Linked DNA regions of Rattus norvegicus. The protein of the gene in region 2 binds, or shares a complex with, the protein of the main gene of each other region. Links are inferred from orthologs where the notes say so. Each region holds a gene or a part of one and is shown on either strand. Other genes may lie near its edges.

Evidence for each region. The genes of interacting proteins can lie anywhere in the genome.
Region 1: Ercc2 (region 2) and Polr2c share a complex: the UniProt entries of both Homo sapiens proteins name them as parts of the TBP-based Pol II pre-initiation complex. The link is inferred for Rattus norvegicus from reciprocal best matches to the Homo sapiens genes ERCC2 and POLR2C.

The regions. Positions count from the first base shown.
Region 1 is NC_086037.1:10,168,122-10,172,317, forward strand, and holds the start of Polr2c (DNA-directed RNA polymerase II subunit RPB3), read right to left. Parts: upstream 2,810-4,196; 5' UTR 2,786-2,809; coding exon 2,700-2,785; intron 2,599-2,699; coding exon 2,549-2,598; intron 1-2,548. UniProt on the Homo sapiens protein: Core component of RNA polymerase II (Pol II), a DNA-dependent RNA polymerase which synthesizes mRNA precursors and many functional non-coding RNAs using the four ribonucleoside triphosphates as substrates.
Region 2 is NC_086019.1:88,160,048-88,164,148, reverse strand, and holds the start of Ercc2 (general transcription and DNA repair factor IIH helicase subunit XPD), read right to left. Parts: upstream 2,808-4,101; 5' UTR 2,778-2,807; coding exon 2,773-2,777; intron 2,558-2,772; coding exon 2,458-2,557; intron 1-2,457. UniProt on the Homo sapiens protein: ATP-dependent 5'-3' DNA helicase. Component of the general transcription and DNA repair factor IIH (TFIIH) core complex, not absolutely essential for minimal transcription in vitro.

The DNA.
Region 1 (4,196 bases), on a different chromosome or scaffold from region 2:
TTGAGTTCCAGGACAGCTAGGGCTACAAAAGAAAAACAGTGTCTCCAAAGCAAAAACAAAAACAAAAAAAACCAAAACAAACAAAAAAGAAAGAATCAAGTCAGTGCTTACAAAGTTGAAGGTGACCAGACCAGGCCAGACTAGGCTGTAAGAGGCTTCAAAGTTTAGCTCCAGGTTTAGGCCTTCCACATTTCATATATATAATCTTCCTGCCCCAGTGAACTGGGTATAGGCCTTGTTAGTGATACACATACACCCCTACCTACCTCAGAGAATTTAGAGATATTTAGGGAATTGAGTACTTTAAACCAGCTACCTGTGCCAATACCAAATCCAAGAATAAAAGCTATTTGGGCACCTAAAAGTTGAGGGAAACATGGGTTGGAGGAATGGCTCAGAGGTTAAGAGGTTCCTGGCAGGGTTGGGGATTTAGCTCAGAGGTAGAGCATTTGCCTAGCAAGCGTAAGGCCCTGGGTTCGGTCCCCAGCTCTGAAAAAAAGGGGGGGGGGAAGGGTTCCTGGCACCCATGTCAGGTAGCTCACAACCCCTGTAACTCCAGCTTCAGGGGGATCTGAGACTCCTGGGCACCTCTGGCACCTGCATTCACCTGTAAACACCTACACACAGAGACAGTTAAAAACAATTTAAAGGGCTGGAGAGATGGCTCAGCCCTTAAGAGCACTGACTGCTTTTCCAGAGGTGCTGAGGTCAATTCCCAGCAACCACATGGTGGCTCATAACCATCTGTAATGGGATCTGGAGCCCTCTTCTGGTTTGTCTGAAGACAGCAACAGTGTACTGACATACATAAAATAAATAAATATTAAAAAAAAAATTTAAAAATTTTCAAGTTAGGGAAAACATCTCAAGAGTAAAAAGTAAAACATCACAAGTTCATGGCCCACACCTTATTTATGATATCACCAGAGAGCCCACTTAGAATTTCAGTGTTACTCCCATCAAGGGATGGTTCACTGGATGGCTTCAACAGGGAAAGCACACTAACAATAAATCCAACCCCTCTCAGTTCAATGCTGGGCATACGGGACTGTACACACACAGAAGCTTAACTTAAACCTGTACCTAATCGCCCATAAGCAAACACCTGCACATAAACAATGATGTTCAGAAATCAAATGGTGTGGGAGCCCAGTTCTCAAGCAGCTGCCATAGGCACAAGGAAGAGAGGTCAGAAGACCAGGCGAGGACAGGCCCAGCCTGCCCTTCCCTGCAGCGCTTCTTCAACCCTAGCAAGGGTGAGGCTTCCTGACGCTTTACTTCCAGGGCCCCCTCAATGCCCTTAATCTACTCCCCATCCCTTAACCCCTGGTGGGAACTCCCGGTATAAAAACCCTGTGTGTGCGTATCTACAAATGCTCCATCCCCTTCTTTTGGTCTCCTTCCTTTCTCTCAAAACAAACAACAAACAAACAAAACTGTTTAGACTCTCCTGAAGACAGCTGTCATATTTTGCCTTGTGTTATGTTTGCTCATTTCTTGACTTCACCTGGAAACTTACATGATCTACAGAAATAAGAAATTCATTAAAAAAAAAAAAAAGACACCAGAATAAATACAAAAAACCCTGTAGTCTGTCTTATCTGTCTGTCTCTCACTCACACACACTTCAACCATAAAGAACTAAAGTATGCTGTTTGTAAAAGAAAAGTTTAATAACACACATGCTTTCTCTCATGTGGGCGCTCTCTCTCTCTCTCTCTCTCTCTCTCTCTCCCTCCCTCCCTCCCTCCCTCCCTCCCCCTCCCCTTTTTAAATAAAAGGAGAGTTCAGGGCCTACAAGATGGTTTAGCGGGATAAAGGTACTTACTTGTTGTCAAGCCTTATCGAGGTCAATCCCTGGGACACACATGGTGGGAGAAGAGAATCCCTCCCACAAACTGTACTCTGACCTTCACACATGAACTATGGTACTCTCGAGCCCAGAGATATACACATATATGTAAATAAATATGTTCTAAAGAAGATAGGGGGAGAAGAAAAGAAAGTATAGCAGGGTACTATCTGGAAGGACGGAAGGACGGGAGAAATCACTCTGTGTGTAGATTTAAAAAATGTCATTACGTAGTCTGTTATTTTGTAAAATTAACAGACATTTTCAAAAGACGCCAACCAGTAACGAACACTGACTTAAAAGCAAAAGCGCAGGGGCTGGGGATTTAGCTCAGCGGTAGAGTGCTTGCCTAGGAAGCGCAAGGCCCTGGGTTCGGTCCCCAGCTCCGAAAAAAAGAACCAAAAAAAAAAAGCAAAAGCGCACCATCTACATTACTTCAGTAATCTCTGTATCACCCGCTAACCTAGGGTCACCTTACGGATGAGGAGGCTGCAGCCCTCGGCTGTTTTAATAGTGCTTAGTCTTGATTTCTGTTGCTTTTGGGTAGACGAACAGAGTTGGAATCCCCGCTGCCGAGCAAGGCACGCACCGAGGCGGGCCTAGGCAGCCGCAGCCCGGCGTGCACCTCCTCAGTGTTCTCAGCTCCCACCCGGGGCGGAGGGACGGCGGCACCGGCTCCGAGGGAGGGTCGCTTACCTATTATGGGCACCTCTGCGATGAAGACCCTCCGAATGGAATTGGCCACCCTACAGGAGGAAAGGCAGGCAGCGTGAGAGGCCCCGAAGACACAGCCCCGGGGTCAGGAGCCCGAGGCCCCGGCCGCCCGCCTCTCCCCTCGCCTCCTTACGCCAGGTCCGTGTTCTCGATAATGAACTTGACGTTCTCTTCAGTGAGTTCCGTGATCCGCACGGTTGGCTGGTTGGCGTACGGCATCACGACCGGCTGCCTGTCTCCCGCGCCAGCCCCACAGCGCGCCTGCGCGACCACCAGTTTGTCGGCGGGGCACCCGGGCGCTTCCGGCTAGACGTGGGCGCAGTGCCACCTGCTGACCGGAGGCCGGAACTCCTGGCCTGTGTTTTCTAACCACACTGGCTACATGCACTGGTCCTATGCTCTTGAAATCCCCAAGATACACAGCACAAAATTTCACGGACAGGGTCATTCACGCCAATGTTATTTGTAATTGCTAAAAATAATAATAAAAATTCCTAGGAAGCGCAAGGCCCTGGGTTCGGTCCCCAGCTCCGAAAAAAAGAACCAAAAAAAAAAATTGATAGAGGCTTGGTTAAACGTACATACGGGGATGTGGAGATAAGAGCACTGGCTGCTGTTCCCTAAGAGTTGGATTGTATTCCCAGCATCCATATGACGTCTAACATCTTTAGCTCCAGTTTCTAAGGAATCTCTTTCCTGGCATCTGAGGGCACCAGGTAGTCAAATGGTGCACAAGCATACATGCAAGCAAAACACCCATATACATAAGAATAATTTTTAAATGTGTAGGAATACAATAAAGCCTTTTAAAAGATGGAAGCTGTACATCTAAACATAAATAAAATGGCTAGGGAGGTGGCTCATTGTGTAAAACGACTGACAGGTTATTTCTCTGCCAGAGAAATGAGTCAATTCAAGTCAAACTAGAACATATTAAAAGGTAGGTTTATTGGGAAGCTGTTCTCAGGCAAGTTCACTGGCCCCCAAGAATGGAGGCCAGGGGAGTCACCAAGGGAAGGACAGGGAGGGAAAAGAGGGGAGAGGGAGAGAGACGGGGAGGGAGGGAGGGAGAGAAAAGGAGAGAGAGCACAAAGCACAAGGTATCTGGATTAAACAGGAAAGAGAAGAGCCTCTGAGGAAGGGCAACCCAGCCTCTAAGCTGGAAAGTTCAGGGTGGGGGCAGAATATGACAAGTAGGGACTGAAAGATGCTGGGAGTACCTAGGGGCCAGCTCTGCATTGATATGTAAAGTACGCACCACAGTCCCTGGTCCCACTGTCAAAGCCAAAACACCAATGTGCAAGGATACAGGTTCAAATTCTCAGAAAACTCGATGTGCAAGGATACAGGTTCAAATTCTCAGAAAACTCGATGTGCAAGGATACAGGTTCAAATTCTCAGAAAACCCGTAAAACAGCCAGCATGGTAATGCCAAAGTCTGTAATCTTAGTGCTCCTTTGAGTTGGAAGGTGAAGAGAAGAATCCCCTGTATGCTCTTAGGACAGTTAGATAGTGCGCAAAGAAGCAAACAACAAAAGACCCACACCCGAGCTGATGTCAGAGAGAGTGCTGTAACGCATACACATGAAAATCAAAATACATGTGTGTGTGAGAGACGGTACAACACATC
Region 2 (4,101 bases):
TGACAATCCCCACTCCTCCTTTTTTGCTGGACTTTACTTACATTTCAAATGTTATTCCCTTTCCCGGTTTCCTATCCATAAACCCCCATCCCCTCCCCGCCTCCCTCATACGGGTATTCTCCCCATCCATCCCCCTTACTGCCACCTCCCCCATATTCCCCTGAACTGGGGGTCCAACTCTGGCAAGGGCTTCCCCTTCCACTGGTGCCCCAACAAGGCTATTCTCTGCTACATATGCAGTTGGAGCCCTGGGTCAGTCCATGTATAGTCTTTGGGTAGTGGTTTAGTCCCTGAAAGATGTAGTTGGTTGGCATTGTTGTTCTTTATTTTTATTTATTTATTTTTTTAAGGTTTATTTATTGTGTATATAGTGTTCTGCCTGAATATACTCCAGAAGAGGGCGCCAAGATCACATTACAGATGGTTGTGAGCCACCATGTGGTTGCTGGGAATTGAACTCAGGACCTCTGGAAGAGCAGACAGTGCTCTTAACCACTGAGCCATCTCTCCAGCCCGGCATTGTTGTTCTTATGGGGTTGCAATCTCCTTCTTCTAATTCCCCCCAAGGGGGTCCTGTTCTCAGTTCAGTGGTCTGCTGCTAGCACTGACTTCTGTACTGGACATGGTCTGGATGTTTCTAAATTTTTCATTTTTTTTTTCGGAGCTGGGGACCGAACCCAGGACCTTGCACTTGCTAGGCAAGCGCTCTACCACTGAGCTAAATCCCCAAGCCCTAAATTTTTCATTCTTTTTTTTTTTTTTTTTTGGTTCTTTTTTTCGGAGCTGGGGACCGAACCCAGGACCTTGTGCTTCCTAGGTAAGCGCTCTACCACTGAGCTAAATCCCCAGCCCCTAAATTTTTCATTCTTAATCCCCACCTATACCCCAAGGGCCTGGCTAGCCTAGTACTTACTATGAACCTCTGGCTGGCTGCAAACGTTTGGCAGTCTTGTTGCCTCCACTTTCTGAGTACTGGGATTACAGGCTGAACCTTATTTCTGTGTCCCTCCTACTGACACAGCTAACGAGTTTACTGAGCAGCAGACAGGAGGAACCTTTACCTCTCTGGACTGCAACATCCTTGCTTCTATAGGCCTTACTTGGAGCAAGGTTGTGAGGACGAATACATTTGTGGGCCAGCAATATGGCTTAGCTGGTAAAGGCGCCTGTGGTCAAGCCTGATCACCCGAGTTCAATCCCCAAGACCAACTCCTCTACCCTCCACATGCACACCATAGCATGTATACACACATTCCAAGTAAGTATAATTAAAAACTTTTTTAAAAAATAAGTTTCTGGGGTTGGGGATTTAGCTCAGTGGTAGAGCACTTGCCTAGCAAGCACAAGGCCCTGGGTTTGGTCCCCAGCTCTGAAAAAAAGAATAAAAAAAAAAAAATAAGTTTGTGTTCAGGGCTGTTGAAATAGCTCAGCAGGTAAAGGTGCTCCCACCAAGCCTAACAGCCTGAGTTTGATCCCTAGAACCCACATTAAAGTGGAGGATATCTGGGTGGTGTTGGTGCATGCCTTTGATCCCAGCACTTGGGAGGCAGAGTCAGGTGGATCTCTGAGTTTGAGGTCAACCTGGGCTATGCATTGAGTTCCAGGAGAGCCAGGGAAACCCTGTCTCAAAACCCAAAACGAAACAAAAGTGGAAGGAAAAACCAACTCCACAAAGTTGCCCTCTGATCTCCACATATGGAATCCTTCCCTCCACTACTGTGACTGCCAGGAACACCTCTACACAGACCAATCAGCCTCTGCCCGTCAGCGTGATTAAAACCTGTCACTCAAGCTACCTAAGAACCTAAGGCAGGAGGATTGCTAAGATGAAGTGCTGTGCCATCTTGATGGCCCTTATCTTTTTAAAGGTCGGGCTACACAGCCCTGGCTAGCCTGGAACTCACCCAGACTGGCTGCAAACCTCCACTTTTCCTCCCACCTCAGCCTCCTCAGGGCTAGGGTTCCAGGTATGCATCATCTTATGCCGTGTTAATTTGGTGTTGGGATTTGGGCACACTAAGCAAGTATTCTACCAACTGAGCTATAACCGACTCTCCCCTATTAGCTAAATGTTTTTGGAAACAGTCTCCCTATATATAGTCCTAGCTAGCCTGGAACTCACTATGAAACTCAGGCTGTCTTTCAAACTCGAGAAATCTTTCCTGAGCCTCCCGGCTCCGGGAATTACAAACATATTGTAATTACTGTCCCATTCAATTTATGCGGTGCCAAAATGGAACCCAGAGTTTCATCCATGGTAGCTAGGCAAGACCCTACCAACTGGGCTCCTAGTCCTGCTAATTACATTTGTTGTTTAGTACACAGTCTCGCTGTACAGACCCGGCTGGCCTCCAAACTCGCAGCGATGCTCCTGCCTGGGTTTTCAGGGTGCGGGATAGCAAGGATGTTAGCCTGCGGGAGCCACCAGAGTGCCAGGAGAACGGCCTCACCACACACCTTGGCGTCGAGCGTGCGCTTGAGCTCCAGCATGTAGGAGAACTGCTCCGGGTAGATGTAGTCGTACGGGAAGTAGACCAGCAGCCCATCCACGTTGAGCCTGGCGGCGACGAGGCGTCGGTGCCTGGTGCTCTCGAGCCGCCCCGGCCTCCGCGCCGCCCGCCCGCCTCCGTGGCGTCTCCCCGCCACGGACCCCGAAGCCACCCGGACCGGTCTCCGTAGCCTCTCCACGCCGCGACCTGGCCCCGGCTACACCCACCGGCCGCCCCATCGCCCACCGCAGTGCCGACCACTCTTCCCGAGACCCCATCTCACTTCATGGCGGCTTGTCCCGGCGTCCACTCGCCCGCCTCCTGAATATTCAACGAGGGGGCGTGACCTAGAGCACCACCTTCCTCGCGATGCCATTGGCTGAGTCTTCCCGTCATTCCTCCAATCGGAAAACTGGCGCGTGCGCATAGCGGTGAGAGGGCGGACTCCGGAGAGAAGCGGTGCCCAAGGCATCGCTGAGGATCGCCGAAGACTTCGAACAGAACACAGAAAGTAGAATGTCGAGAGAATCGTTACAGTTCATTGACGTTTGCTCCTCCTGGTTCTGTCCTGGTTGTCCAAGTCGGGAATAGAGTTTAGGAGAAAATAACAGAGGAATTGGAAGCTGTTCGGAGCCTTTAAGTTACAAAGGCGAGATTGTACCAGACAAGCACGATTTATAAAATACTGGTATCCAAACTTAAGACAGGAAACCTAAAAACAGCTCCTCCTATTTATTGAACTCTTACTCTAGCAAGATTCTACCACGTGTTTTTTAAGCATTCATTAATATGGGCTGGAGAGATGACTCAGATATTAAAGCTTAGGCTCACAAACAAACAAACAAAAATGCATTAATTAAGGGCCTGGAGGAACCGCTCCGTAGTTAAAAGCACTTTCTGATCTTGAAGAGGATTAGGGTTTCCAGCCCCCACCCCCCCACCTCCAAATCAGGCAGCTTACGATCGATCACCTTTAGGACTAGCTCCATGGAATCCAATACCTCTGGCCTATGGAAGGAAGAGGAAATCTGCAGAATTTGGTTCAGCTCTTTCCTTCCACCATGTGTGGGAATTGAACTCAGGTCAAAAGACAATGGCGGTTTACCTCATGAATCTTCTCATGAACCCTTCCTGCTCTCTTTTTTTTTTTTTTAAGATTTATTTATTTATTTTATGTGAGTACACTGTCACTGCCTTCAGACACACCAGAAGAGGGCATCGGATCCCATTACAGATGGTTATAAGCCACCATGTGGTTGCTGGGATTTGAACTCAGGACCTCTGGAAGAGCAGTCATTGCTCTTAACCACTGAGCCATCTCTCCAGCCCCCTCCTGCTCTCTTTTGAGACTGTCTCACTATGTAACCCAAACTGGTCCGGAGGAGCTCACTCTGTAGCCTGGGCTTCCCCCCAACCCCCCACCCCTACTCGTGACTCACCCACCTCAGACTCCTGAGGGTCAGGATAGCAAGGCTAGACAATGCTGTCCGTTATTTCCTATCTCTGGATCCCTGCTCAAATGTCACCTTCACCTTTTTCTTTCTTCCTTTGCTCCTTCCTTCCTTCCTTCCTTCCTTCCTTTTCTTTTTCTTTTTGAGACAGAGTCTCTCTA